Linked DNA regions of Macaca mulatta. The protein of the gene in region 5 purifies or fractionates together with the protein of the main gene of each other region. This does not show direct contact. Links are inferred from orthologs where the notes say so. Each region holds a gene or a part of one and is shown on either strand. Other genes may lie near its edges.

Region 1 (3,989 bases), on a different chromosome or scaffold from region 5:
ACCATCCTGGCTAACACGGTGAAACCCCGTCTCTACTAAAAAATACAAAAATTAGCCAGGCGAGATGGCGGGCGCCTGTAGTCCCAGCTGCTCGGGAGGCTGAGGCAGGAGAATGGTGTGAACCCAGGAGGCGGAGCTTGCAGTGAGCTGAGATCTGGCCACTGCATTCCAGCCTGGGCGACAAAGCGAGACTCCGTCTCAAAAAAAAAAGAACTCAATTCCTCAGTTGCACTAATCACATTTGAAGTGCTCAATAGCCACATGTGATTAGCAGCTACCATACTGGACAGGGCGTTTCCACCATGACAGAAATTTCTATTGAACAGTACTGACCTAAAGAACCCATTTACTTTCCTAGCAATGCTAAGCAGCTCACTGTGAACTTTGCTTCTCTGCCGTCTTTTCTGTTTCCGTTGCTAACCAACTCTTTTTCTCATGGATATATTCTTTCGATATATTAAAATCTTTCATTTGATTACAGTCGAATGTTGGCTTTTGACCAAGAGTATGTCAGAGTAACTGTAGATGTCTGCTCAGTTGCTCTGATTGTTTTATATGTATTCTAATCATGTTAGCTATCATTTTATTGAGGATACATGTAGGGGTTGATATTTAATCACTGAGGAATAATCACTGAGTCTCAGTCAGATAGCTGGTGAGTGAGTGGTAAAGCCAGGATTAGAACTAATAATTTATATCAGTGACTTCATTCGGTGTAGAATTTTAGGGTGGCAGGTTTCCCCCCATGACATTAAAAATATCATTTCATTTCATTGTCTTTTGGCTTCCACATTTTCTGTGGACAAATATTGGTCTGGGGGGGTTTTGTTGTTTTGTTTTGTTTTTTAAATCTGGTAATAGCAGCAAGAATGATGGCTTGCCAATGCCTAGTACATTCTCCTCAGAAGCCCAGCTCTGCCTTCTTGAAATAAAAAAACATTTAGTATTTTAAGCTAATTTGAATTTGTGTAATTGAAGCTACAGAAAATAACTATTATAGGTGGAAATGCCTTAAACGTGAATAAATAGCAGCCGGGCACAGTGGCTCATGCCTCTAATCCCAGCACTTTGGGAGGTTGACGCGGGTGGATCTCGAGGTCAGGAGATCGAGGCCATCCTGGCTAACACAGTAAAACCCCGTCTCTACTAAAAATACAAAAAAGTTGCCGGGCGTGGTGGGGGGCGCCTGTAGTCCCAGCTACTCGGGAGGCTGAGGCAGGAAAATTGCTTGAACCCAGGAGGCGGAGCTTGTAGTGAGCCGAGATGCTGCCACCACACTCCAGCCTGGGCAACAGAGCAAGACTCCATCTCAAAAAAAAAAAAAGTGAATAAATAGCTTAATTATACTTGGAATTTATGGCAACTAAAGTTCTTCTGTTCTTAAAATGCATTAAGACTTTTAAGATGCATCATAGGTAAATATGATTATTCAGATAGCTAGTAACATTAGAATATCTACAAGCATAATGTCAAAATCAGAGATTTTTCCAGAAACTTTCGGGGTGATTATTCGTAATCATTTATTCTCACCTTGTTTTTGTCCAGATTCGTGTTCTTCTACAGGAACGTGGTGCCCAGGACAGGCGGATCCAGGATCTGGAAACTGAGTTGGAAAAGATGGAAGCAAGGCTGAACGCTGCACTCAGGGAAAAAACGTCTCTCTCTGCAAATAATGCTACACTGGAGAAACAACTTATTGAATTGACCAGGACTAATGAACTACTAAAATCTAAGGTATCTGAGCCTCATGATAACATTTACAGTTGAATAAATATAAACATGTTTTTTCGGGCTGGGCGCAGTGGCTTACGGCTGTAATCCCAGCATTTTGGGAGGCCAAGGCGGGTGGATCACCTGAGGTTGGGAGCTCAAGATCACCCTGACCAACGTGGAGAAACCCCGTCTCTACTAAAAATACAAAAATTAGCGAGGCACATTGGCGGGCACCTGTAATCTCAGCTACTCTGGAGACTGAGGCAGAAGAATCGCTTGAACCCAGGAGGTGGAGATTACAGTGAGCTGAGATGGTGCCATTGCACTCCAGCCTAGGCAGGAGAGTGAGACTCCGTCTCAAAAAAACAAAACAAAACAAAGTATACCAGGCAATTCAGATTTATTTTGTTAAGCAAACATGTTTCAAGAAATCCTTTCTCAGGGACTTGCTTTAGAATCTTGCAATGCACTTTCCAGCACACAGAGGTAAGTGACCACCCAAACAACCTTTCAAAACTAAACCAGCAGGCCAGGCATAGTGGCTCACACCTGTAATCCCAGCACTTTGGGAAGCTGAGACGGATGGATCACTTGAGGTCAGGAGTTCGAGACTAGCCTAGCCTAACATGGCGAAACCCCATCTTTACTAAAAATACAAAAATTAGCCAGGTATGGTGGCACACACCTGTAATTCCAGCTACTCAGGAGGCTGAGGCATGAGAATCGCTTGAACCCGGGAAGTGGAAGTTGCAGTGAGCAACACGGCACTCCAGCCTGGGTGACAGAGTAAGACTCTGTCTCATAAAAATAAAATCAAAACAAACCAGCAAGTCATATTAAGGAAAAGAGAGATAAGAACAGTAGACCGGTGCAGTGGCTCATGCCTGTATTTCCAGCATTTTGGAAGGCTGAGGGCTGGAGAATTGCTTGAGGCCAGGAATTTGAGACCAGCCTGGGCAAAATATCAAGACCCCATCTCTATAAACAACTTGAAAAATTAGCTAGGCATGGTGGTGGTGCACACCAGTAATCCTAGCTACTCAGGAAGATGAGGCAGGAGGATTGAGTCCAGGAGTTTGAGATTATAGTGAGCTATGATCATGCCACGCCACTCTAGCCTGGACAGCGAAGCGAGACTTGATCTCTTAAAAACAAAAGAAAAAAAAAATCAATCAGTAATTATGGTGTAGGTCAAAGACTGTTCTCTCTACCAAAGCATATTACAGTCAAAAACATAACCCCAGTGATAGGTAGAAAAATCAATACTTGTGTATTTTAAATATATCTTAGCAGAAAATATTTCTGAATTTTTTATGTGTTTGTTGTACTTAGTTTTCTGAAAATGGTAACCAGAAGAATTTGAGAATTCTAAGCTTGGAGTTGATGAAACTTAGAAACAAAAGAGAAACAAAGATGAGGGTGAGTGCTGCCTTTGGCAGGTTTGCTGTGTCTGGATCTGGGGATCAGTACAATTTTCTCATTTCCTAAAACACGTATCTTTGTTGTGTAGGGTATGATGGCTAAGCAAGAAGGCATGGAGATGAAGCTGCAGGTCACCCAAAGAAGTCTCGAAGAGTCTCAGGGGAAAATAGCCCAACTGGAGGGAAAACTGTAAGTGACTGAATGTGAAGAGAACTTGTTAAGTGGAAGCAATTCTTGATTTGACTCTCTTCACAAATTATTGTTTACTGAGACTTCAGACTTCTCTTAGTACTTATCTCATTGCCTCCCTCCAGTTGCCCTATTTCTTTTTTTAAATGAGAATGAGCCCTAATCATTCTCAAACATGTGCTAGAAAGTTGTATGAGTGCATTACTTTTGTACATCTTCTGTATTAATGATGAGGAAAGGTTTCATGATCTTATGAAAGTGGTCATTAGATTGAAACGGAAAAACACTGGTATAGGAAGTTGTGATTTATGCACAATCATAGGCTTTGATTTTGAGCTTTAATTTACATATAATAAAATGTGTGGATAGTAAGTGTTCAGTTTGGTGACTTTAGCAGTTGTATACACCTATGTAACCATTACCAAACAAGATAGAGAACATTTTCATCCCTTCAGAATGTTCTTTCACACCCCTTCTTGTCTCCCTGCTACTGCCTGTGCCATGTCCCCATCCCCACAACTACTTTCTCACTTACATCATCATAAATTAGCTTTGCCTTTTTTTATTTATTATCATTATTATTGTTATTATTATTATTTTAGAGATGGGGCATTGCTGTGTTACTCAGGCTGGTCTCAAACTCCTGGACTTAAGTGATACCACCC
Region 2 (4,635 bases), on a different chromosome or scaffold from region 5:
CCCAGCTCTGGCCAGCCTTGAGGGCTGGAGGAGGACTGGGGTTGGGGCAGCTTCTCCTCAGTCCAGCTCCTGGGATCCCTGCATCGTCCCTCTGAGCCCAGCTCCTGAGGCTGTCTCTGCTCTGCGTGTGTCCGTGTATCCGGGTTTGCCAGAGGCCGGGCCAGGAGCCTGGAAGCACTGGCTGTGCTCAGGCCTGCCCCTCCCCCGCCCCAGGCACACCTTTGATTAGGAGGCGATGGGTTGCGCTTGTGCTGAGTTCAGGCCTTCTGCGGAGGGCAGAATCTGTCGAGGAGGCACTTTTCCGTGTGATCTCTTCAGGAAGTCACCGCTGTCATTGTGCTTAGCAGCAGGCGTGGGGGCGATGGGGGTGGGAGAAGCTGGGGCCACGGCAGTGTCTCTGCACCCTGACTCAAGGCTGGGGGCCTGTCTCCTGAGGCAGTGTCCTGCCAGATGTGTAGGAAAGAGCTCCTGTGGGCCTTCTGACCTCCAGCTCAGGTCTTCCCCATCCTTTATTTGGAAGAATCCAGTGGCTGGAGTCTTGGGACCTTGCTTCTGAGCTGGCTTGACTGTGGAGAGGGGTCTCTGGCCTCCCCTCCCTGCTCTGGGCTTGCAGCCTCACGTCCTGGTCCAAGGCTGGGTGAAGTGGAGTCTTGACCCTGGTGAGAGTAAGAAGCCCCCCAGCCCATAATCTCCTGAAATGCTCCTGGCTGCTCTGGAGGAGACTCCCATCTGTCTGCATCAAACCTGGAAAGTGGGGGATGGAGCATGGGGTGGGGTCCATGCCCAAGGGTCTGGTGGGAGCTGGACTGAGCTGGGAATCCCAGATGGGTTTCTGGGATGAGGTGCACAGAAATATCCGTAGCAAGAAAGTGAGAGCGGAGTGCTAGAGGGACCCGAGTGGGTGAGAGTTGATTGTTTAGTCCAGCCTCCCCAGCACTTTTGTTTTTGCTCCCTGACCCTGTGGGAATTGACCCGGGGCAGGGACCAGAGAGCAGGCTGCCACTCGGAGGGGCCGACTCCACCAGCCTTCAGTTGGGCAGGCCCCGGGGTGGCTCACTGTGGGAGCCCTTGTGAAATACCCTGGATGGGGTGGGGCAGGGGCTGCTTCCTGCAACCCAAAGCCACAGGATGGTTACTCCATCAGTGGAGGAGGCAGACTGGGAGGGCCGGAGGGGCCTCGGGCCAGGCTCCTCCCAGCTGATGGCCTGCCACCTGGAAGGTGGGGGAACTCCCTGGTCAGTCCTGCCAACAGACCAAAGCTAGATGGACGGCCCACCCTCAGCTTCTCAAAGTTAGGAGACTGGGAGACTCAGGGTTCCCTACAGCCTCCTCTCTGGGTAGGTCCCCAGTGGGGCCCCTGTGCACCCAGGGAGCAGGGGGCTTTGTCCCAGGCCAGCTCAGGGGAGGTGGTTGTAGGAGGTAGGACCCTGGAAGATGCACGCACAGGGTCACTGGCTGGCCCTCACCTGCTATTGGTCAGGCTGGCCTTTCTGGCCCCCAGCAGCTCGGCTGCGGCTCTCCTGGGGCGCTGTTGGCTGGCGGGCCCAGGGAGTGCGGGCGCGGCGGGGGAGCGGGAGGCAATGTGCTGAGTCAGCGTGACTCGCCAGGAACAGCCGTGCTCTGGGGCAGTGCTGGGGTTATTTTTAAAGCTCCCGGCTTCCTTCTAGGCCTGCCTCTCCCGCGTCTTATTCCTTCTAATCTCTCCCCCGCCCCTTGTCTTGCGCCTGCCTCCCTAACAGCCTTCAGTTCCCCTTCTCCCATCAGACCTTCCTGACCTCCCACCTGGTTCTCTGAGGGTAGGGTGGACAGGAAGCAGCTCAGCCTAGCCTGGGAGAGGCCAAGGGCTGCCTCCGATCAGGTATTGGGGGCTGGGCACCTGGGCTGGGGGCTGGGCACCTGGGCAGCAGGCTGGGGTGGGCTGTGCGGCAAGGGCTCTGTGAACTGGGGTGGGGGGCGAGGGTGGTCTCCAGGGTACTGACCTCTGCTCCATGTCTTGCAGAGAGCGCCTGCTCGCTGTGCCCCCGGGTTATGACGACCCCCAATAAAGGAAACAAGGCCTTGAAGGTGAGTGGGCAGGGACAGGAGCCTTCAGGCCCGGGGTTGGGGGGCACAGTGGGCATGCCCGCTTGGCCTGTGACCCTGTGCCCTGTGCCCCAGGTGAAGCGGGAGCCGGGTGAGAATGGCACCAGCCTGACGGATGAGGAGCTGGTGACCATGTCGGTGCGGGAGCTGAACCAGCACCTGCGTGGCCTGTCCAAGGAGGAGATCGTCCAGCTGAAGCAGCGCCGGCGCACGCTCAAGAACCGCGGCTACGCTGCCAGCTGCCGCGTGAAGCGGGTGACGCAGAAGGAGGAGCTGGAGAAGCAGAAGGCGGAGCTGCAGCAGGAGGTGGAGAAGCTGGCCTCAGAGAACGCCAGCATGAAGCTGGAGCTCGACGCACTGCGCTCCAAGTACGAGGCGCTGCAAACCTTCGCCCGGACGGTGGCCCGCAGCCCCGTGGCGCCCGCCCGGGGCCCCCTTGCCGCCGGCCTGGGGCCCCTCGTCCCAGGCAAGGTGGCCGCCACCAGCGTCATCACAATAGTAAAGTCCAAGACGGATGCCCGATCGTAGGGACGCGCGTCTACCCAGGCGGGTCTTTGCGGGGCCACTAGGCACATGGCGAATTCGGCTGCCCTGTCCCTCTGTTTCCTTCTCTTCTCTTTCCTCCCTCTCTTCCCCGCCCTTCTCTCTTCCCTGCAAAGCACAACCTGTACCCCAGGGGCGCCGGGCTGAGCCCCTTTGATCTCGTCATTGTCGTCGTGTGTTTTGTATGTTGGGATTGGTCAGTTCGGCGGTGACGTGGGGTCGCGCCAACCCCTTTTGTACCAGGGCCATGCAGTCTTGGAGTCCAGAGTTGGTGCTGTGGGAATGGACTTGAGAGAGTTGCGGGAGAGAGAAGGAGAAGGCACGCTGGGCCTCACGTGTCCCCGAGCAGTGAGGGTTCCAGTGTGCCCTCCACTCCCGAGTGGCCACAGGCTTGTGGGCTGGGAAGGATTCACTCTCTTTAGCCCCAGGAGGGCAGCTCAGCTTAGCCCAGCACAAAGAGATGGGCTCTGCTCTGAGAGTAGGGCTGCCTTGAAGGCCCTGATGGGTGGACCACCAGCCTGGGCACAGTGGTGCTGGGGGCGTGCAGTTGGGGCCAAGGGCTGTGCGCTCAGGCCTGACCCGTTGCACTGAACAAGACCAAATCGCTGGCTGTGCACTTACGTGAGGGTGAGTCCAGTGTGCCCTGCGATGGGTCCCGTGTCACTGTTTACATGACCTATTTGTGTGGTTATATAGCCCTTTATTTAAAAGAGAGAAGTTCCTTTTACAAAGTTATTAAATTAATTATATGTTTAAAAGTTAAAGAAAAAAAGAGCTGCAGAGTATTTATAAAACTGTCTTTTAGAAAAAAAAAAAACAAGCAAGAAGACCATTTGACCATATAAATGGAAAAGGGAAGAAAGTATAATAGAAACTTTGCTAGTTAAAAAAAAAAGAAAAAAAAAATCCCTTTCTTGTAAACTTACGGACAACTCTTTGTGGCTGTTGGAGTTTAGTTTTTATATACACAGAGTTATCAGACATTATTTATAAAACTTAGTTTAAAAAAAGACAAAAAAAAAAAAAGCCAAGCCGTGAGCCGACCAGAAGGCCGTCCTCTTTGATATCTTTTGCAATTGTACCGAAAGTGACTTACTCCTCTGCCCTTCCTGCTTCCGTCTCTTGCCGGTGCCGTGGTGTCGTCCGTGCCTGGTGAGGTTTTGTGCAGCGGTAAAGTGCTGGTGCTTCTGGTGACCTTCGACCTGTGGGTGTCACTTCTTGTGTCAGTTTTCCTGTGTTCGTTTTTTGGGTTTCGTTGTGCTTTTGCTTCTGCTGGCTTGCCGGACCTGGGCTGGGGTGCCAGGTGGCACCTGCTGCGTCAGAGCTCAACGAGTCTGTGCCCTCCACCTGCTCCTGGTCCCTAGGAGGTGAGACGTGGGGTTCTGTCACACTCCCCCCCGACTGAGCCTTGGCTACATCTGTGTCTAGGGCTTGGGCTGATCTGGTGGCTGGGTAGCTGAAACTGGGGGCCCCTTGGGGCCCCCCCACACTGCTCTACACCCACCACCTCTGGCCTTGGGTGGTGGTGGTGCAGGGACCAAGGAGTCACTGTGGGTGGCCACAGGGCTGTGGCCAAGCGTTCCCTGGCTGTCTTCCTCAGGCCTCAGTTTTGTTCCGATAGGCTTCATGTGGGGCCTCAGCCGGGGAACCCCCGGGGCCCGCACCGTGGGCTGCAGGTTTCGCCGCCTACTTGATCCCTGAGGTCTTTCCATGCTGCGGGTGGTGCTTCCAGGCAGAGTGGTTGGGGGCCCACCGGGCAACCCTTTCTTCCTTGTCCCTGCCTCACTCAGAGTCTTGGGAGCGTCCACCAGTGCAGACAAGGGCTACAGTCTCCAGGGCCGGTCTTGTCCCTCTTCTCCGCTGGTCCACGCTGGCAGCTCTTGGCTTTGGGCCTGCCTTCTGCCTCCCTTTGGGATCTGTCTTCCAGGGATCAGCTGCTTGGCTTCTGCTGGAGGTGCCTCCCTCTGGGGGCCCAACCTGCCTCCTGCTCCCAGTTCCTCACCAGAGGCT
Region 3 (4,770 bases), about 17 Mb from region 5:
AGGCTGGAGTGAGCTGAGATGGTGCCACCGCACTCCAGGCTGGATGACAGAGTGAGACTCCGTCTCAAAAGTAAATACGGCCAGGCGCAGTGGCTCACGCCTGTAATCCCAGCACTTTGGGGGGCCGAGGCGGGCAGATCACGAGGTCAGGAGATCGAGACCATCCTGGCTAACACGGCAAAACCCCGTCTCTATTTTAAAAAATACAAAAAAATTAGCCGGGCGTGGCAGTGGGCACCTGTAGTCCCAGCTACTGGGGAGGCTGAGGCAGAAGAATGGCGTGAACCCAGGAGGCGGAGCTTGCAGTGAGCTGAGATGGCACCACTGCACTCCAGCCTGGGCGACAGAGTGAGACTCTGTGTCAAAATAAAAAAATAAATAAATACAAATTAAAAAATTAAAAAGATAATATAACTGTGCGATTAGTAACAAAAGCCTACTATGGAAAGAATGCAGTTGGGTTAGAGCAGCGACACCATGAGTAACGTAAAGAGGAGACGCTCACAGCTTCTCTGGAGGCTCCCAGCGCATCCCAGAACCCCAAGTGCAAAGTGTGGGCCGGGACAAGGGAAGCAGCTTTCCCATCCCCCGGGGATGTCTTTCTGCAAACATCCTGGGGACGTGGGACATTGTCGCTACTGCTGCTATTTCTTGGCACCTGTTTCTGCAGCCAGGTTGCAGGCATCACTGTGTCTGGCTACCCCAGACGGCAGCGTGGGCCTCAGCAAGGAGGCGCCTCCCAGGTGGTCAGAAGTGGGGGTCAGAGATGGTCCGGGAGGCTGCCCCCTCGCTCCACAGCAAGAGGCCACTGGGCGGCTGCCTAAATCCCCAGGCACGCGGTGGTAAGGATGACACCCAGAAGATGCACAGACCTCCCTGTCCTTGCTCCTGAGTCCCACCTGAGCCGAGAAACAGGCTCCCGAGTCCCACCTGAGCCGAGAAAACAGGCTTCCCAGAACCCTGGGCAGATGCCGTGGGTGCCCTGGTTGGCCAGGCCTGAGACTCCTCTTCCCGCAGCGCTCAGAGGAGGGCGGGACTTGGGGACCCAGAAGCTTGGTAAGGGGCTCACCCTCCCCTCTGAGGGACTCTGGACGGGTCCCCACTCCAGCCTGTCCTCCACCTGCGACAAGAAGCAGAGGCAGCTCCCTCAGGGACCTGCTCCCACCTGAGGATCCCTCACAGGACTCCTTGGGCCAGTGGTGCCCTAACCCCATCCTGGGCCTGCTGTGGCCCCCTGGCAACCAGCAGCTGGGGCTTTAGAAGGGGGCTGGCCCCACTCACAGAAGCTGTGACCAGTAGCCGCTTATCCCCATTTTTACATTGCTGGTTTGCTTGTTTTGTTTTGTTTTTTGAGACAGGGTTTCACCTTGTCACCCAGGCTAGAGTGCAGTGATGAAATCATGGCTCACTGCAGCCTCCACCTTCCAGGTTCAAGCCATCCTCCTGCCTCAGCCTCCTGAGTAACTGGGACTACAGGCACATACCACCACGACCGACTACTTTTTGTAATTTTTTGTAGAGATGGGGGTCTCACTATGTTGTCCAGGCTGGTCTGGAATTCCTGGGCTCAAGCGATCCTCCTGCTTTGACCTCCCAGCGTGCTGGGATTACAGGCATGAGCCACTGTGCCCAGCTGGCCTTAATGTTTTTTATGTTTGTAGAGACGGGGAATGGGGGAAGGGAGGTTTCGCTATGTTGCCCAGACTGGTCTTGAACTGCTGGCCCACAGAGATCCTCCCGCCGGGCCTCCCAAAGCGCGGGAATTGCAGGTGCGGGCGGGGCCCGCGGACCCCCGGGCGGGAGAGGAGGGCGTGCCCGCGGGGGAGGGAGGGGGCGTGGCCCCAGGGGGGCGGGGCGGCGTGACGCGCGCGCCGCGGATCCCGGAAGCGGTGTCAGATGCTGGGGAGCCGGGCGGGCGGGCGCGGTGGCGGCGGGCGGCGGGGGGGAGTTGTTGTTCTTCGTGAAGTCGGAGCCCGAGCGCCAGGCGGCGGCGGCCGAGGGGAGCGCGAGAGTGAGCGCCGGCGCGAGGACAGCGCGTGCCCGCGAGGAGCCGCCGCGCGCCCGCGCCCTCCGCTCGACGCCAGGTGAGGGGCGGTGGAGCAGCGGGGACCGGGCCGCGGCGGGGACGGAGACCGGGACGCGGGGCTGGGGCCACCTGGCCGCTGAGTCACGGCCGCCCGGGGGCGCGGGCCGAGGGTGGCGGGGTTGGGTGCGCAGGGCCCGAGACCCCCATGCGGCCCCCTACGCGGCCCGCGCACCTGCCCCGTTGGGCCCAGCCCCGCAGGCCCAGGGGGCTTCCCCGGGACGCGAAGCTCTCTGCCCTGCACGTGCCGCCCGGGCCATGCTTCCTAAGCCCGGGGCCCTGGGGCGTGGACCCCAGACCTGGGAACACGGGAGTCCACGCGAGTCGGCGGCGCGCATTGTGCCCGCGCCTTCACACCTGCGGGGGGCGGGGCGGGCGCCACGTGCGGGCGGCGCGGGGAGGGCGCGGGCGCGTGGATTCCCCGTGCCTTCCGCCCCAGCGTGGCTTCCGCGTGCGGCCCCGGCCTGCCCCCCTCGCTTCCTCCCGGTGACGGGCGGCGCTGCGGCCCACGCGTGCCCGTGGACGGGGTGGGGGTAACCGAGTCTCCCTACAGGCAGGATCCTGGGACTGGTGTTGCTTTCAGCCGCCCACCTGCCAGGGTTGCTGGAAGGAAGGCCGTGGGGAGGCAGGAGGGGAGCAGGTGACAGGGGCCCCAAGGCGCGTGTCCCTTTGCTCACATGTGGGGCAGGGGCTCAGGCCTCTTCCCGCTCCCACTGCGTGGGTTCTTCTGTGTCTCTTGTCAAGTTCAGGAAACTGTGTTATGTGCTCGTGACGCTGTGTGTGTGTGTGTCTCTGTTTGCACACCCTCAAGATACTGGGGGGGTGGGTCGAGGCGCCGCGGAAAAACCCAGAAAGCCAGGACCCCGCCTGGCCTTGGCCCTTGACCTGGGTCCCCCTGGGGTACAGCAGTGGCCCTGTGCTGCATTCTCACCCTCACACCGTGTGTGTTCATGTTTGCGGGGCCTCCTGTGTCCCTCTCCCCGTGTCCTGCATCCCTGAGCATGCTGTTTCTTGCTGCTTAGGCGGCTCTTGTAGCTGAGGCAGAAATCAGATCCACCATTCATTCACCAGGTGACCCACAGGCAGCCAGCCACTCTCTGGCCAGGTGCCTGGCCTTGGGACGATCCTGGGACTCAAAACGCCCCCCACTGCGGGACACCGTGGACTAGGGGATATCACTGTGGTTCGGCTCCGGCACTGCCCTTCCCACCCCTCTGATTCTCCAGGGTGGGCTGCCAGGTCTCTACTGGCACTGAGGTTTCACTATCACAGTGTGTTGTTGTAAGGGGGTCTCCAACATGGAGTGGGATGCCCTGTGCAGCTTCTCCAAGCCCAGTGTCTTCAGAGATGTGGAGTATTGAAAGAGCTGTGGGCGGGGTCTGGAGAACATAGGTGGGCTGTGCAGGTGTCTGGGACACACCTACATCCTATTTGGGCGTCCAGTGCCGTTTAAGAGAACATCTCCCCTTCTTAGGTAACCCAGTAGGAATGTCTGAGTTTGACCTTGGGAGAGGGAGTCTGCTTTTTAAAACTAGACCTTTCATTATTCCAAAATAAGACATTTACTAAAGCAGAAAAACAAACCAGGTTTCTCCTGCCTTTTATCCTTGAGCTGAGCCAGGGCTTTGAGGGGCTGGTTCCCTACAGCATTGATTCCCCAGGTGCTGGTAAACCCGGGAGCCAGCGTTTACCAAGGGTTGGGGCTGTCGGGGCGCCAGCCTTTGTGCGCACCCGGGAGGCCGCTGTTAAGTGAGACCGTCTTCCGGGCCACTCTGCTGTCTACAAGGCGTGCGCTTTCACCCACGGGGCTCGGCGATGGCTGCGTTTGTTTACAGTCTCCAGCAAAGCTGTTTGCCACCCAGACCGAGAAGAAGTTGTGCCTGTTCCTGTCCCAGCTGTTTCTGAGTCTAAAGGTTTCTGGAGTGGACTTTCTGGGTTTCGGGTCCAGTCCACACGGGAAATGGAAATCTGGCCAGCTGGGAGAAGGCTCCGTGTGGCTGCCTTTCAACAGTAAACAGTGACTCACCGCTCCGTCCCCACCCTCCCTGCTCTCCGCGAATGGAAGATACCTTTCCCCGCTATTTATTTTTGCTTTTTATAAGTCACAGACTCCGTCATGTTTCCGCTTTCCTACAGTTTCAGGAAACTGGGAGTGTCGTCTTAAAATCATAGAGTTTTAGAGCAGGTACAAATGAACCTGAGAGGTCACACGCCCCACCCCGACCGGCCGCTGTAGATGAGGAAACCCAGGCCGTGACGTCTGCTGGCCCGTCCCAAGGGCCGGTGGGGTCTGGTGTAGAACCTGCCTGCTTGTTCGCACTGCGCGTCGGGCGTCCTGGGGAAGGTATTGGGGTGGAGACTGCCCTCTCGCTGCCCTCCCGTGCGGGGCCGGCTCATCTCGTACAGTGGGAGGCTCGTATGGGGTGTAGGGAAGACATGCTCCCTGCTTGCGAGGAGCTCACCACACCACGGGGAGGGCCCCGTCCCCAGAAGGATCTAGAACCAGGCCTTGGTAGAGGGTGCTTGCCTACGCAAGGAGAGCAGTGGGGAGCGTTTCTGGAAGAAGCAGGGCTTGAGGGGGGCAGGGGGCCACGTGCTCTCTGCAGATGGGGGTGATCAGAAACCTGAAACGGTGTTGGGGTGAGGGGGTCGGGGTTTGGGAGGAACCCCAAAACTTTTGACTGCCT
Region 4 (2,803 bases), on a different chromosome or scaffold from region 5:
AGGGGCCTTTGGGAGTTGGTCCCCTTCTCCAGCCCAGAGCAATGACCACTGACCCTCCACGAGTTTTATTCACCTTTGTCTCCCCATTACCAACTACATGTTTGGCAAAGAGTAGCTGCTCAATAAATAGTTGTTGAAGGAGCATGCGGCTGTCAGGCGTGTGGGAGGGGGGATTAGGAGATGAGAGGCCCTCAGTGGTCTAGGGATGGCTGCCCCATCTGCCTAGGGCATGCTGAGTTAGTGTGGGGCAGTCCCCAGGCAGCTGGGAAAGCTTTTCCAAAACAGAGGTCTAGATGAAGGAGGCCTGGGGAGAGAGGGGACTGGCTGATATTGTATCTTATGGGGTGCCGGATGGGCTTTGTAAAAAGGCATTTACTGGCAGGGTGCGGTGGTTCAAGCCTGTAATCCCAGCACTTTGGGAGGCCAAGACGGGTGGATCCTCGCACGAGGTCAGGAGATCAAGACCATCCTGGCTAACACGGTGAAACCCCGTCTCTACTAAAAAAATACAAAAAAACTAGCCGGGCGAGGTGGCGGGCGCCTGTAGTCCCAGCTACTTGGGAGGCTAAGGCAGGAGAATGGTGTAAACCCAGGAGGCGGAACTTGCAGTGAGCTGAGATCCGGCCACTGCACTCCAGTCTGGGCGACAGAGCGAGACTCTGTCTCAAAAAAAAAAAAAAAAAAAAAAAAAAAGAAGGCATTTACTGGTGCACATATGCTGTGTGTATTTTTCTGAATGTAGGTTATACTTTAAGAAAAGTTCTGAAAAATCAGCTGAGTACGGTGGCTCACACTGTAATCCCAACACTTTGGGAGGCCAAGGTGGGTGTATCACCTGAGGTCAGTAGTTTAAAACCAGCCTGGCCAAATGGCAAAACCCCATCTCTACTAAAAATACAAAAAAGTAGCTGGGCATGGTGACAGGCACCTGTAATCCCAGCTACTTGGGAGGCTGAGGCAGGAGAATCACTTGAACCCGGGAGGTGAGCCGAGATCGCACGACTGCATTCCTGCCTGGGCGACAGAGTAAGACTGTCTCAAAAAAAGAAAAAAAGTTCTGAAAAATCAAATCAAAGGCACATGACCAAGCCCCATGTGGAAGAATGGTCAGGAGAGGGACATCTGTTCATTTGGTGCACACTTACTGGGCCATCTACTATATACCAAGCACTTATTTAGGCATATTGATGCCATGGTGAGACAGGCAAGGCCTCTGCCTTCATGGGCTTCCGTTTTGGTGGAGGAGGAGTGGGAAGGAGAAACAAATCATAGATGAGGAACCAAGCACAAGAAATGCAGAAGAGGTGACTGTTACAAGGGTTAATAGGCAGGGTTATGTGATGTGACACAAAGAGGCGTTTAGCCGGAATGGTCAAAGAAGATCTCTTGAGGCGGTGACATTGGGCAAACACCTAAATGATGAGGAGTCACCATGGGGAGCTAGAACAGTAAAGAGAACAGCATGTGCACAGCTCCCGAGGCTGGAAGGAGCCATTCAAGGAGGCCTGTGGAGCAATGTGGAGAGAGGAAGGTGGCAGGTATGAATCAGTTCTAAGATAGCAGAGGCCTTGAATGGCAAGGTAGTGAGTTTGGATGTTATTCTAAATGGGAAAACAAAAACAAAACAAGGTGACTTTGACCTCCTTTCTACCCTAGGTCTGCGGCCCAGAAGGCACCTTCTGCAAACATGTCTGTGGATCCCCTATCCAGCAAAGCTCTAAAGGTAAGGAGGCAGCCTCTGTTAACCCATGAAGCCCTCCCTCCCTGCCCATGTAGAGCCTCGTCATCCCAACTTCCCCTTCTTTCCTGGAATCCCCTGGGTGGCTCAGCAGGCACCAGGCCTTCATGATGCCCAAGGGAAGGGCCACAGCCACAGGCTGGGACCAGGAGGCCTGGGCTCTGGTCACGGGCTGCATGTCCCTGGGGTAGGTCACTTCCCTCTCCATCCTCCTTCCCCATCGAGTCAATGCCCCCTGATGCATTCAAAGGTGCTTTCCGGGCTGGGTTTCTCTGGCTGAGTCCAGGGCTTGGCGCTAGGTTAGAATTCAGGTTGAGCCCGGGGTGGCATCCTTTTGTGTCCGGATCCTAGTTTGGCCTGGTTTCCCCTTCCCGGATTCCTGCTCCCCTTCAGGGTTTTGGATCAAGTCCAACCACCACCTCGGTGGCTAAGGCAGTGAAAGAGGAACACCGAGGTGTGGAGCGGTGCACCGTCCCCAGTCCCTGGGCCTCAGTTTCCCTATGCCCGCAGATCAAGCGAGAGCTGAGTGAGAACACGCCGCACCTGTCGGACGAGGCGCTGATGGGGCTGTCGGTGCGCGAGCTGAACCGGCACCTGCGCGGGCTCTCGGCCGAGGAGGTGACACGGCTCAAGCAGCGGCGCCGCACACTCAAAAACCGCGGCTACGCCGCCAGCTGCCGCGTGAAGCGCGTGTGCCAAAAGGAGGAGCTGCAGAAGCAGAAGTCGGAGCTGGAGCGCGAGGTGGACAAGCTGGCGCGCGAGAACGCCGCCATGCGCCTGGAGCTCGACGCGCTGCGCGGCAAGTGCGAGGCACTGCAGGGCTTCGCGCGCTCTGTGGCCGCAGCCCGCGGGCCCACCACGCTCGTGGCGCCAGCCAGCGTCATCACCATCGTCAAGTCCACCCCGGGCTCGGGGTCTGGCCCCGCCCCCGGACCGGACCCCGCCCACGGCCCGGCCTCCTGCTCCTAGTGCCCGCCCCCGCCATGCCCCAGCCACGCCCCTCCGGCTCCAGCTCCCTCCCCAAAGTGCCTGAGCGCCGCCTCTGTGCCCAGGCCCCATTTCTCT
Region 5 (4,546 bases):
GAGGGTCTGATCTTCCCCTAGAAAAAACTGCATAGGTGTAGAAAAAAGACTGTAATTCCACTGGCTCAGGGTGGAAGGAGAATAAAGCCTCGGGCGCTCTCATGTGTCTGTAAGAACTTCAATCCTTCTTTCATGGTTTATTTCCAAATGTCCTTTGCTCATGTTTCACTAAATATCTGCACTCCCACCAAGAACTGAGGCAGCCCGAGATGCGAGGTACCTCCCACCTCTGGACCCTATCTAGACCGCTGGGTTCCACTCTCCCCAGTTAAGACACAATGCTCCAGGAAGCCTCCCCTAATTCTAGGTCATAATGTATCACTTCACCCCTCGCACTCCCATCCAACTTCACTTACGTGATTTTCTCATGTATTTGGGATGTAACTCAAACGTCCTCAAGTCCCACAGCCTGTGGGTGCAAATGCAGTCATGTTAGCGATAATACCTGAATTATTATCTTGGTATCCTTTTTGCCCCAGGAACTCCACGGCTGTCTTCTTGTTACTGGCTCCAAAGCTAACAGTAAAACCCCTTCACACAAATCGTCCTTTGGCTACAGACCTCAAGGTCCGTGCCATCTCCGCAGGAACCCTCGTGGGGTTGGCGTGCACAGTCCCCTTCGCTGCGCGTGCATCCCTCTCCGCTGACAGCCACTGCTTTGAACTCCAGAGGTGTTAAATGGCTTGGGAACATAATTTCAAAATTGACAGTTGGATAAATACCAGAATAAGCACCAGAAGATGACAGCGGAACCAAGGCTCGAGATGGGCCGGCTGACACCACTGGGCGCTGAACCTGGCTGGAAGCTTCCTGGCAGCGACAGCGAAAAGGGAACACCTGTCGTGGGGGCCCTTGTTTCATGTCAGTAAGAAGTAGAGCAACTGCTAGACGCGCTCCAGAAAACCCTGGACGCACTTGATACATCCCAACCAGCAAGCTCAAGTACCCTGCGAACCTGGGCGCCCGCCACCCCCAGGGCAGGCAGCGAGGAGCTCTTCAAGGGGTAAAGCGACCCCTGTGGGGCCAGCGCCCGTCCTCTCTCCTGCTATCCGCGGGCACCCGGGCACGCGACGACTCGGCTGAATTAGGGCGTCCTGCAGCTCCCGGGGCGAGGAGGAGCTCGGCCTTTCTGTTCTGCCCTCAGAAGGGAGAGGAGAGGTGGTCCTGGAGTGGGAGTCAGTTCAGGCTGCGGGCTGTGCCACGCGCGGAGGTCCGGGGACCCCACCCCCGCCTCCCCGAGGCCCGCCCCGCCCCTTACGACCCGACCCTGCAATCCCTCTGCGCGGGCTTCCGGCCGCGGCGACCCCGGCCCGCGCTGTTGCGCTAGCTAGTTCGCTGCCAGAGGTCTCGAGGGCGGCGGGGCGGGGCTTCGGCGGCGGGGGCGGGGCCTCCAGCGGGCGGGCGGGGTTTTGGCGCCGCGAGGTGGCGGCAGCAGAGCGGCGCAGAAGGGAGGGGGCGGCTGGCCGCGCGGAAGGAGTGAGTCACCTGACCGCTGCCCTCGCCGCCCGCCAGGCGCTCTCGCTGCAGTCAGTCGGGCCGCGCCGCGCCTCAGCTCCGGTGAGTGGCTCGGCAGTCCCGCCGGCCCTTCTCCGGGAGGGTTGGCGCGGTCAGGGCCGCGGGCCTGTGAGGGGAGGCCCGCGGACAGGTCCGGGGGAGGCGCGGGCGGGCCGGGGGCGGCTCTTTCTGGGCTGGGCGGGGCGCGGGGGGCGCGTAGCGGGGCTCGCTGGGGGCGCTGGCGGCCGGGATTCTGGAAGTGGCCGCGACGCCGGAAGGGGCGTCCCGTTGGCGCCCGAACCCCCTGCACGGCAGGAGCTGTTGTTTACCCGCGCGCGCCGTACTTTACCCGGGGCGGGCGGGGACTAGGGGCCGCGGGGTCCCTGCCCCACCCCCGCTCCCCGCCCTCAGGCGCCAGCCCAGCCCCTCGCCCGCGGCCCGTCCGGGCTGTGACACATCAGCACCGCCCTCGCGGCTGGGGCCCCGTATTGTCCTCCGCCGCCTCCCACCGCTATGCCCAGCCTCGCGTCTACTCAGCCTGGTGCCTGTCGCGCGTGGAATCGCGTAAGAAAAGCCGAGTTTGTGCCTGGGGAGAGAAGGCCACCGTGCTGAGATGGATTTAGCGAAGACTGGTTTTGGGGACCGGAGATCCCAGGACTCCCTTTGTTGGAGTTTTGCCCACGCGTTGTAATTAAGCCTCGCACAATATGGTGAGAGTGGGCGTTGATTCTGGAGACACCAGCTTTGTGCTCGTGTAATGTAACACGAGTGCCGTTGCTTCCTCATTCTTACACGGCAGTTTCATGTCATTGAGTAGAATTGTGCGGAATGCTTTTATGGAGTGAGGCTTCTGCGTTAAACTTGTTTTGATTCCAGGTAAAGTGTAGTAGTAATTGTGAAAGAACGTGTATGGGGAAAACGAGCTACAGTGTCAGGCTTGGAGGAACAAAGAATGTTTTGTAGGATGCTTTGCTTTTTGGAAAATTGTATAGGGGTATGGACTGTTACCCATGGAGGATGCTATGGGAATTTGGTCACATATTTGAACACACTTTACATCAGAGGGTTTGTATTGAATGCAGTTCAGAAGGATAAAGGGTGGAAATCCCAGATGTGTTAGTGGCAGAGCACTTGAGCGCTTCACATAGCCAAGCAGAGAAATGGGAAGAGGCTTGCTTCTTCCTGGTCTTTGGGTAGTGGTGCAAGGGCTGGGCTGGGCTGGGCTTGGCTTGAAGGCACTTGCCACTTCTGCCTTTGGACATCTTAAGGAAGGTTAGGGAAGAAAGGCTCCTGGTGAGTCAGCTTGGAGTAGGGTGGCTTTGGTGTAGTGAATCTTGTATTGCTGTTTAACCTATGGTTCTGTCAAGTGGTTTACTATTGTTCAGTATGTTGGTTGATTAACAAGGTAGGATGACTCTTTAAAAAGTTGGGTTGCTGAGTCATTCGCCCCAGCTTGAGAGGTAATTAGAAACAGCTGGTGCAGATACTCATCACATGCCTCCACTATAAAAGGCCAAGGAGCGCTCTAGAGGGGTTGCTTCAGAAGGCTGAAGGGGACCCAGCTGGGGTTGTTTTGATCCAGTTTATCGGTGGGTGAAGTGGAAGAGCACTCTTAGGCAGTGGCCAATAGCACTGAGGCGGTGTTTAAACCCAGAGTCTCGTGACCTGCTGTCTGAGAAGAAATTTGCGCTGGAGAGAGCTGAAACTGGGGAAGAAATTTGCAGCTAGGGGTAACCCAATAAAAAATATTGTAACAAAAATATTTGCTACTCTTACTGGACTTAGTTTCCTTTTTGTGGTTTTTGTTACGTGGTCTATACATTTCAAGCAGTGAGCTTAATTTGTGCTTCATAAAAATTTGGTTATGAGTACACAGAGGGGACTTGCTGTTTCTCAAGACCCTTGGCTTTTCATGCATACACAAGAAGTTTCAGGAGTCAGAAGAGGGTAAGCACAGTATGGGTGGAATTAACAGGTCTCATTGGGTCAAGTCTGGAAAGAGCTGTTTAATGAATGGCCAACCATAAATACCTGTCTCATTGTCTTGATTGTGTGACACTACTGCCTTTACACCTGGTGTCATTGCTTCTTGCTTTAAAAAGGAGCACACAGCCCAAATATTTATGAATCCTCATTGCAAACAAAGTTTAGGAATGGGCAATGTAGAGCTGGGAATTTGACCCTTTGGTGGAAAAAATGATTCCTATTAATGATAGTTTATTTAAAACATTTTATATTAGGAAAAACTTTTTTATATATAAATATAAATTTTTATATTTATTTTGTTCCTTTATGTCTGGGACTAGAGGAGATTAGAAATTATGAATATTGTAAGTATTAGGGCCTCTAAGGTGGGGTACAAGGAGTTTCATGTGGAAACACTATATTAAAACTTTTAAAACCTTCTATTTAATATAAGAAAGACATTAAACTTAAAAATACAGACTAACAATAGCGCATTCATATTATATAATGCGCGTGCATGCCCTCCACCCGTTTGTTGTTGGGGGAACATAGCCTGTTAACCACTGTCAATAACATTCTTTCAGCAACCGGAATGCTTGTTCTTTTATGGTTTCCTCCTAAGAGTTCTTTCATACTGTCCTTAATATTCCATTTAAGTTTTATTTTATAGGTAGTTCTCTTGTCTGTATATTTTACTTTAAAGATTAGAAGTTTGAGTGTAAACTTCTTGTTACATTGTTGATATTGGGGATGGAAATACAAAAAATACAGAATTTCATTTGGTAACCTGTATTTTGAATTTGGAGACAAGCTCACTGGTTGGTTTGTTTAAATGTTTGTTATCTGAAGTGCAGTGAAATGTAAAAAGGTGCAATGGAAATACTCGAAGATGATCCACACATTGGAGTGTAGTATGTATATAGAGTGTAATATGTATATCACACATTCTGTAAAAATTACTTTGTACTGTCACTCCTCGAAGTCTTGTTTTTTTTGTATTTTTTTTTGGCCAAGCTTACACTTGCTTAATGAAGATTAATAAGACGACAGATTCAGTGAATCCCTTGGAAAGTAGCATTTATTCTGA
Region 6 (3,989 bases), on a different chromosome or scaffold from region 5:
TTCATGCATTGCTCCACTAATGGAGCCTATTGCCCAACACAATGTATTCAAATTTTTCCACGACCACTCTGTACCATTCACTTGATTGTGAAGCTTCTCTGTCATTATTCTTTCTGTATCTACATAATCCAGATGAGTAAGATAAACTACGAAAAAAAAATTGTTTCAAATGCAAATAATGAGCAAAGAGTTTTACCAATGAATACCATGTTTAGAAAATATTTAGAAACTACAGTACATTTTCTAAAATATATTTCTACCCCAGAATAAATTTATAAAGGTAAAGATTAACAGTATTTATTAACTTACCTAATGTTTCCCTCATATTCTTATACAAATTTATGGAATCTGTATCCTTCATGAATTCTCTCACAACTTCTCCTTGATCATTCTCTACAACCAATACTTCCTCTGGTTTAGCCATTCGACTAACCATTAATAAACGGACCTATATTCAGCAATAAATCAATCAAGAAAAAATCATTAGATCACTGAAATCATTAGTGTAGAAGCTTAGTTAAAAACAAAACCAAAAAAACCCACAGGCCAGCCATGTGAAGGGATTCATGCCTATAATTCTAACTATTCTGGAGGCAATTCTTTCTAGACCTGTTGTGGCCAGGAATTTGAGAGGAGCCTGAGCAACACAGCGACACCCAATCTCTAAAACAATAAAAATACTGGGGCTTAAAGCACAACAGAAAAAACTATGTAAATATAAAGTAAAACTAAAAAATTTAAAATTAGCTGGGGATGGTGGTGCGTGCCTGCAACCAGTTACTTGGGATGCTGACGCAAGAGAATTGCTTCAGCCTAGGATTTCAAGATTGTAGTGAGCTATGACCATGCCACTGCACTCCAACCTGAGCCACAGAGCAAGACCCTGTCTCCAACAGAAGAAAATTTTTCACTGTAATTCTACAAAAATGGCTTTACAATTATTTAAGTGTGTTTTAATGTGATTTTTTTTAAAGCCAACTTTTGTTACAGGAGTTTCCTGTGTCTCACTTCTAGACTCTGGTTCAGTAGATTGGCAGGTGGCCAATGAATTTTGCCTAACAAAATCACAAGCGACGTTGATACTGAGAGAAGGATCACACTCTTGAGAACCAAGGTTCGGCCGGGCGCGGTGGCTCAAGCCTGTAATCCCAGCACTTTGGGAGGCCGAGGCGGGCGGATCACAAGGTCAGGAGATCGAGACCACAGTGAAACCCCGTCTCTACTAAAAATACAAAAAATTAGCCGGGCGCGGTGGCGGGCGCCTGTAGTCCCAGCTACTCAGGAAGCTGAGGCAGGAGAATGGCGGGAACCCGGGAGGCGGAGCTTGCAGTGAGCCGAGATCGCGCGACTGCACTCCAGCCTGGGCGACAGCGTGAGACTCTGTCTCAAAAAAAAAAAAAAAAAAAAAAAAGAGAACCAAGGTTCTAGACTCAATTCCTTTCATGTTCTAGTTTTCCACACTCATGGAGAAGTTGTTGGGCTCTCTTTTCGTAGCTAATTTATTTAGATAGATTAGAAGTATTTGCATTCAGACCTCAAAACCACAGCAAGCAACAGGAAGAACACTCAACCAACCACTCTGTTACCTTGAATAACATGGGCAAATATAGCTGTCTCCTGGGAGGAACATCAAAATGTTGACTTCCAGATAGCAACGGAGAGGCAGATGTAGAGAATGGACTCTCTCTATAGAGTTCAGCAGCCAAATGATTCCAGTATTCAAGACAAATTTTAAAGATTTCAGTTTCTTCTACTTCAGATACCAACAACATATAATGAAGGGCCTACAGAGAAGACCAAAACTATTAAAAAATAATTCTTAAACATTACCAACTTCAAATTGCTTTTCACTTATTACACCTTAAGGGAAAATAAAAATTCATGTTTTATTCATCACAACTCAGATTTCAATACTTATCAGACAGTAAACTCTGGAATAACTCTGCTTCTTCTGACATGCCCTAAAGCACTTCAAAAATCTCTCACATAGTTGTTGATCAATATGTATTTTTATCATGTCTCCTAACGGAATGACATTTATTTAAAAGGCCTTGAGTGCCAATAGGCAAGTGGTATCAACAACACAAATGTACCATTACAGAGGAGAGAACAAACAAAATACGGAATATTCTTACAATGAAAATATTACTCAGCCATGATAAAAAGTGAGGTATTGATACAGGTTACAACATGGAAGAACATTGAAAACACAATGCCAAATAAAAGAAACCAGACACAAAAAGGTCACATGTATGATTTCCTTTATATGGTATAATCAGAATAGATACATCTACAGAGACAGAAACCAAAATAATGGTTGCCAGAAGTTGGGGAGAGAACAAAGGAGAAAGTGACTGTTTTATAGGTAAAGGGTCATCTTTGAGTGATGAAAATGTTTTGGATCTAGGTATTAATGGTGGTATAACATTAATGGTGGTATAACATTAATGGTGATATAATATTAGTATATTCAGTGGTATATACTAATACACCACTGAAGAGTGTGTGTGTGTATATATTTATGTTATATATATATATATATATATATATATATTTTCTTCCTTCAGACAGAATCTTGCTCTGTCACCCAGGCTGGAGTGCAGTACTGTGATCTTGGCTCACTGCAACCTCAGTCTCCTGGGCTCAAGCAATTCTCGTGCCTCAGCCTCCTGAGTAGCTGGGATTACAGGCACGTGACACCACGCCCAGCTAATTTTTTTGTATTTTTAATACAGATGGAGTTTCACCATGTAGGCCAGGTTGGTCTCGAACTCCTGCCTCTGCCTCCCAAAGTGCTGGGATTACACGCTGAATTGTGTATCTTTAAATGAACAAATGTTATTTGAATTAAAAGTGAAATTTTAAAATAAGGTCTTTGGAATTTTAACCTTAGAAATGATATAATAATTAGTAATTTAATTTTGATTATAAATGTTTAGTCCTAGGCTTTATGGAGAACATAAAATCAGAAAACTGGGCTTATGACTGTAATTCGGAATTAAGAATATATATCATGCACAGGTCAAGTATTAAGTAATAAGAAATCTCAAAAGGTACATACATTTTTGAAAAAAGGCACTTTTAAGAGTTATTAGTAGGTAGAGCAGAATTTTAGGAGCAAAGGCTCCACACAGCTTACCTCCATAAGAGTTTCCCTGAGATTTAATCTTTTTTCTATAAGTTGATCATGTTCCTTAAGAAAGGTGCAGAGAAACAAACTGAGATTTTGAATGAAGTTCTGTTCATCATCTTTTCCATTTGAGTACGCAAGTCGAATATTGGTATTTAAAGGAAGCATCTGCAAATTTAAAAAGGGATGATCAGTTTGCATTTCATAAAACAACAAAAGACATTTATATTTTATTATTATTATTTTTGAGACAAGGTCTCACTCTGTCCAGGCTAGAGTGCAGTAGTATGATCACAGCATATTGCGGCCTCCACCTCCTAGGCTCAATCAGTCTCAGCACCTCCCAAATAGCTGGAACCACAGGCATGTGCCATGACACCCAGCTAATTTTTTAAAAAGTTTTTGTAGAGACCGTATCTACAAATCCAGGCTGGTCTTGAACTCCTGGCTCAAGCAATCCTCCCAACTTAGCCTCCCAAAGTGCTGGGATTAAAAGTGTAAGCTACTGCACCCAGCCAACACTATTATTTTTAAGCCCTAAGATCCCAACACCCTTTTGCTAATATTAAACCACATATAGAACTCCTAGGTCCGGTATACCTATTCTTATATCTCTAAGACCTAGATTTTGACTCTTCTCAAATAAATTAAATTGCAACTAGTAAGGCCGCTATCACAGCCTTTACATTTTTTCTAGTATTGGACTTAATCCCTTTCTCACTGACACTGAAAATGTAAAAATAATGAATTAATTCATTCAGATCACAAACACACACAGTAATCTATCTTTCCTTGTTTTCTAAGAGACAGGGACTTGTCCTGTCATCCAGGCTGGAGTGCAGTAGTGTGACGATAGCTC
Region 7 (4,692 bases), on a different chromosome or scaffold from region 5:
AAAGATGAGGACTGAAAATTGATTGTTGGATTTAGCTCTGTGGAACTCATGATGAACCTGACAAGAGGTTTTGGTAAAGAAGTGAGGGTTTTAGCCTGATTGAAGAGGGCTGGAAAGGAACTGGAGACAGCAGGTATAGACAACTGGTTTGAGGGTTTCTTTTTCTTTTCTTTTCTTTTTTTTTTTGAGACAGGGTCTTACTCTGTCACCCAGGCTGGAGTGCAGTGGTGTGATCATAATTCACTACAGCCTCAAACTCCTGGGCTTAACTGATCCCTTGCCTCAGCCTTCCCAGTGGCTGGGACCAACAGGAGCACTGCCATGCACTAAGAGTTAGGCGCACCACCATGCCCAGCTGACTTTTGTATTTTTTTGTAGAGACAGGATCTCACTATGTTGCCCAGGCTGGTCTCAAACTCCTGGGCTCAAGTGATCCTCTTCCCTTGGCCTCCCACAGTGCTGGGATTACAGGTGCAAGTCACCATGGCCAGCCACATCTGAGATTTTATGCTGCAAAAGTAAGAAGAGAGATGGGGAGCTTTAGAGGAATGTAGAGTCAAAAGAGGGTTGTTTTAAGACGAAAAATATTTCAGCATGCGTGTAGGTTGATAGAAATGAATCAGTAAAGAGGGAAGCTGATGTTCCAGGAGAAAGAAGAAGGTTGCTGGAGTGATGCTGGTGAGTAGTAGAGGGGCTGGAAGTGCCCAGGCAGAGGGGTTGGGGTTGGATGGGCACAGGCGCAGTTCATCAATGCCCAGTATATGGGCAGCGATGGAGACAGGAAGGTAGACTAGATGGGCGCACGTGGACGTTCCCTTCTCACTGCTTCTGTGTTCTCGGTGACATAGGAGGCAAGCTGTCAGAGAGGAAAAGGTAGAGAGAATGAGGGAAATGTGGCCTACCAGGCAGTTTTTTTGTTTTGTTTTGTTTTGTTTTGTTTTTGATGGAGTTTCGCTCTTGTCGCCCAGGCTGGAGTGCAGTGGTGTGATCTGGACTCACTGCAACCTCCTCTCCCCGCATTCAAGTGATTCTCCTGCCTCAGCCTCCCGAGCATCTGGGATTACAGGCGTACATCAAGATGCCCGGCTAATTTTCGTATTTTTAGTAGAGACGGGGTTTCACCGTGTTGGTCAGGCTGGTCTCAAACTCCTGACTTCAGGTGATCCGCCCTCCTAGGCCTCCTAAAATGCTGGGACTACAGGCGTGAGCCACTGCGCGCCCGGCCTCCTAGCAGGTAGTCTTACAGATTATGAATGTAAAACATGACCAGTCAGTAAGCATGGTTATGCTCTTTTTGTTTTTTTCTCCAGCCCTGTAGGGCTGCCGGGGTGCAGGTGCAAAGTAGGATACAACCAGGGTTGGTTGGAGTTTTACAAGGCAAAAACTGATGAAATGAGAGAAGACTACCCGAGGGTGTAAGCAAAGGAGCGGTCCTAATATGATGAGCCGGTATTTTTTTAATGAATGAATACGTGGTTAAAGGCAGGGGATAAAGACGATATGTTTGGCCATACCAAAGCTCTGAGAGCCTAGGAGCAGCGTGGCCAACGTGTCTGGGAGCCGGCACCTGCCTCTCCTCACTGCCTAGGCCTGACTGTCCCTGGCCTTGTAGGGCCGCACTGGGGGGCGGCCGGCAGGGGGCGCCCTGGGATGGCCAGGAGCCCGGCTCTCCCCGCTCTGTCCCTGCTCTGCGGCCCGCCTCGCCCCTGCAAGTTTAAATTCGGCTTAGCAACCCCAGCATCGCAGCCAATAACGCATGAGGGGGCGGAACCGTAGAGGCTTGCGCCCCGCCTCGCTCCGCTATTGGAAGGAATGCAGCCAATGGGAGAGTCGAGGCGGGGAGGTGCGGCCAATGGCGCGGGCCTGTTTGATTCAAAGGTTGCCTATAAAGTGGGCCTGCAGGCTGGTTCTTGTCCGAGGGCTGTCGCGTCCGAGTGCCGCTATGGCTCTGCTGTGCGAGGGCCTGGACGAACTGCCGGCTGCCTGCCTGTCTCCGTGCGGGCCGCCCAACCCGGCCGAGCTGTTCAGCGAGTCACGGCGCCTGGCTCTGGAGGAGCTGGTGGCCGGCGGCCCCGAAGCCTTCGCGGCCTTCCTGCGACGCGAGCGCCTGGCTCGCTTCCTGAACCCCGATGAGGTGCACGCCATCCTGCGCGCGGCGGAGAGGCCAGGAGAGGAGGGCGCGGCGGCGGCGGCCGAGGACTCGTTCGGCTCCTCGCATGACTGCTCGTCTGGCACCTACTTCCCCGAGCAGTCGGACCTGGAGCCGCCGCTGCTGGAGCTCGGCTGGCCCGCCTTCTACCAGGGCGCCTACCGCGGCGCCACGCGCGTCGAGGCCCACTTCCAGCCCCGCGGCACGGGCGAGGGCGGCCCCTACGGCTGCAAGGACGCTCTGCGCCAGCAGCTCCGCTCGGCGCGAGAGGTGAGCGGCCCTCCCGGGCTCTGGGTCGCACGGGAGACCCCCTTCAAGAATGGGAAATTGAGGCCTGCGGGGAGCACAGGCCGGGGCGACTACCTCCTCAGCTCCCTACCGGAAGCGCGGGCCACGGGGTCCCGGGGTCCCCGACTCACACCCCACTCTGCGTGTCTTCCCCGGATCCCCCGGGCCGCTCCTGGTGGCAGGGGATAGTGGGGAAGCCTCGGTTCCCAAGGATAAGAATTGTGTCCGGGTTCCATCTCCTAACGTTCATATCCCTGAAGGAGGGACCAGAAGTACTCCCAGCTCCAAATTTCAGTTGAAATCAAACTTGGAAAATTGCCGATTTCCCTGGCTGTCAGCCAACGCTACATCCCACTTTCAGGAGCTTCTTAGGAGACTCATTACCAAAGAACTTACCTAGGGAAAGTTCCAGGAAGGTGGTCTCCAGAGACAACTACGGGGCATTAGGAATCAATTATTATTGCTAATTACTTTCACGCATCTTATGTTGTAAAAAGCAGATAAACACAAGTGGCAAAGTGAGACCCCTGCCGCTTTTTCTTTCTTGTCTTTTTTTTTTTTTTTTCTTTGAGACAGAGTCTCACTCTTTTGCCCAGGCTGGAGTGAAGTGGTGGGAACTCAGTTCACCGCAACCTCCGTCCCCGGGTTCAAGTGATTCTCCTGCCTCAGCCTCCCAAGTAGCTCGGATTACAGGCGCCTGCCACCACTCCCGGCTAGTTTTTGTATTTTTAGTAGAGACAGGGTTTCGCCATGTTGGCCAAGCTGGTCTCGAACTCCTGACCTCAGGTGATCCACCCTCCTCGGCCTCCCAAAGTGCTAGGATTAAGGCGTGAGCCACTGCGCCCGGCCCCCTGCCGCTTTTTCTACTGCCAGAGACTGGAGGGGAAATTTGCCGTTGTGAATGAAAGGGGCAAGGAGTTTTCCATAGGCTGGGTCTGTGCCAGATTGCAGTGGTCTCCTAAAATGCAGATACATTTGCATTAGATCGGCTTCTGTTTTGGTCCTACTGTCTGACTCAGTATGGCATGGTCATGGGCGCAGTGGAGGTCTTGTCTGCTTGCCAGCCTCAATGAAGCTGCAGCAGGGTGTTGGGGATCAAGGAGGAAGAAGGCAGCCTGCATGTGGGTGTGGCAGAACAGTATGGTGGCAGACACCTTGGTCTGGAACCATGGTCAGGTTGCTTGCTGACTGGCAGTGCCCGGCTTCCTGGCTGTCTGCCTGTGCCAGGGACATGGCAGATAAAGCCCCAGCCATGGTAAGACTTGCGAGGGCTGGTACATGAGTGTGTCTGACTGTGGGTGAAGATACCAGTGCATTGTCAGGTTGACATGTCCAAGTCCAAGCCCCAATTCTCACCAATGTTCTTAATATTCTTTCCCTGAATGGTGGGGTTGCAGTGGTAGTGGATACAGTGACCTAGTGCCTTGCTTTTGAGGGAGTGGTTGTGGGCTGCAGCTAGGCTTTTACCAGCCCTGAGGTGCTTTAGGTGGGCTGAGGGTTTTTTGATGCAGTAGACATTTTCCTTGCGGGTTCAGTGAGAAGATTAAAAAGATGGAAAAGGCAGACTTGTGTAGGTATGCGTTCCCAAAGCTCACCTCCAGTAGAACTTGAGCACTTGGAACCTGAAAAATGTAAAGAACTGGTCTATATAGTGAGAGCTGTGGATTGTTCTAGTCTTTTGCCCATCTCAAAATTTTAGTGATAGCAAAGGGGCACTGGAACCAGAGGCCAGAGGGAAATTAAACTCACGTGCTGGCCTGAGGAGGGGATGGAGCCGGGAGCTCAGACTCTCCCTCATCCCATGGGCGTTTTGTAATACTGACATTTCCAGATAGAACCTGCTGCCCTAGTCTAGCTACCCACAGTTCCCTCTGAGATGCTATATTTGGAACGTGGGCAGTTTAAACTGAGAAAGTTACCTTTAAATCCGATGAGTATTGGCTGGATACGGTGGTCAAGCCTGTAATCCCAGCACTTGGGGAGGCTGAGGTGGACGGATCACGAGGTCAGCAGTTCGAGACCAGTCTGGCCAACATGGTGAAACCCCATCTCTACTAAAAATACAAAAATTAGCAGGGCGTGGTGGCACGCACCTATAATCCTAGTTACTCGGGAGGCTGAGGCAGGAGAATTGCTTGAACCTGGGAGGTGGAGGTTGCAGTGAGCCGAGATTGCGCCATTGGACTCCAGCTCTGGGCGACAGAGCACGACTCCGTCTTGGGAAAAAAAAAAATCCAATGAGTATTTTCAGTAGG

Evidence for each region.
Region 1: the proteins of BACH1 (region 5) and HMMR purify together in Homo sapiens (affinity purification with mass spectrometry; 6 studies listed by BioGRID and IntAct, counting the BioPlex papers as one, with this or other methods). This does not show direct contact. The link is inferred for Macaca mulatta from reciprocal best matches to the Homo sapiens genes BACH1 and HMMR.
Region 2: the proteins of BACH1 (region 5) and MAFG purify together in Homo sapiens (affinity purification with mass spectrometry; 5 studies listed by BioGRID and IntAct, counting the BioPlex papers as one, with this or other methods). This does not show direct contact. The link is inferred for Macaca mulatta from reciprocal best matches to the Homo sapiens genes BACH1 and MAFG.
Region 3: the proteins of BACH1 (region 5) and MAFK purify together in Homo sapiens (affinity purification with mass spectrometry; 6 studies listed by BioGRID and IntAct, counting the BioPlex papers as one, with this or other methods). This does not show direct contact. The link is inferred for Macaca mulatta from reciprocal best matches to the Homo sapiens genes BACH1 and MAFK.
Region 4: the proteins of BACH1 (region 5) and MAFF purify together in Homo sapiens (affinity purification with mass spectrometry; 3 studies listed by BioGRID and IntAct, counting the BioPlex papers as one, with this or other methods). This does not show direct contact. The link is inferred for Macaca mulatta from reciprocal best matches to the Homo sapiens genes BACH1 and MAFF.
Region 6: the proteins of BACH1 (region 5) and XPO1 purify together in Homo sapiens (affinity purification with western blotting; 3 studies listed by BioGRID, with this or other methods). This does not show direct contact. The link is inferred for Macaca mulatta from reciprocal best matches to the Homo sapiens genes BACH1 and XPO1.
Region 7: the proteins of BACH1 (region 5) and FAM83D purify together in Homo sapiens (co-immunoprecipitation; 3 studies listed by BioGRID and IntAct, counting the BioPlex papers as one, with this or other methods). This does not show direct contact. The link is inferred for Macaca mulatta from reciprocal best matches to the Homo sapiens genes BACH1 and FAM83D.

The regions. Positions count from the first base shown.
Region 1 is NC_133411.1:172,289,252-172,293,240, forward strand, and holds part of HMMR (hyaluronan mediated motility receptor), read left to right. Parts: intron 1-1,545; coding exon 1,546-1,734; intron 1,735-3,045; coding exon 3,046-3,132; intron 3,133-3,223; coding exon 3,224-3,324; intron 3,325-3,989. UniProt on the Homo sapiens protein: Receptor for hyaluronic acid (HA). Involved in cell motility. When hyaluronan binds to HMMR, the phosphorylation of a number of proteins, including PTK2/FAK1 occurs.
Region 2 is NC_133421.1:91,584,278-91,588,912, reverse strand, and holds MAFG (transcription factor MafG), read left to right. Parts: upstream 1-1,678; 5' UTR 1,679-1,858; intron 1,859-1,999; 5' UTR 2,000-2,028; coding exon 2,029-2,064; intron 2,065-2,157; coding exon 2,158-2,610; 3' UTR 2,611-4,074; downstream 4,075-4,635. UniProt on the Homo sapiens protein: Since they lack a putative transactivation domain, the small Mafs behave as transcriptional repressors when they dimerize among themselves.
Region 3 is NC_133408.1:35,469,468-35,474,237, forward strand, and holds the start of MAFK (transcription factor MafK), read left to right. Parts: upstream 1-1,824; 5' UTR 1,825-2,084; intron 2,085-4,322; exon of another isoform or gene 4,323-4,427; intron 4,428-4,579; exon of another isoform or gene 4,580-4,639; intron 4,640-4,758; exon of another isoform or gene 4,759-4,770. UniProt on the Homo sapiens protein: Since they lack a putative transactivation domain, the small Mafs behave as transcriptional repressors when they dimerize among themselves.
Region 4 is NC_133415.1:13,278,856-13,281,658, reverse strand, and holds part of MAFF (transcription factor MafF), read left to right. Parts: intron 1-1,656; 5' UTR 1,657-1,687; coding exon 1,688-1,723; intron 1,724-2,248; coding exon 2,249-2,707; 3' UTR 2,708-2,803. UniProt on the Homo sapiens protein: Since they lack a putative transactivation domain, the small Mafs behave as transcriptional repressors when they dimerize among themselves.
Region 5 is NC_133408.1:18,196,618-18,201,163, reverse strand, and holds the start of BACH1 (transcription regulator protein BACH1), read left to right. Parts: upstream 1-1,511; 5' UTR 1,512-1,557; intron 1,558-1,685; exon of another isoform or gene 1,686-2,370; intron 2,371-4,546. UniProt on the Homo sapiens protein: Transcriptional regulator that acts as a repressor or activator, depending on the context. Binds to NF-E2 DNA binding sites. Plays important roles in coordinating transcription activation and repression by MAFK.
Region 6 is NC_133418.1:63,238,679-63,242,667, reverse strand, and holds part of XPO1 (exportin-1), read right to left. Parts: intron 3,299-3,989; coding exon 3,140-3,298; intron 1,785-3,139; coding exon 1,587-1,784; intron 449-1,586; coding exon 310-448; intron 147-309; coding exon 1-146. UniProt on the Homo sapiens protein: Mediates the nuclear export of cellular proteins (cargos) bearing a leucine-rich nuclear export signal (NES) and of RNAs.
Region 7 is NC_133415.1:91,796,546-91,801,237, forward strand, and holds the start of FAM83D (protein FAM83D), read left to right. Parts: upstream 1-1,716; 5' UTR 1,717-1,756; coding exon 1,757-2,419; intron 2,420-4,692.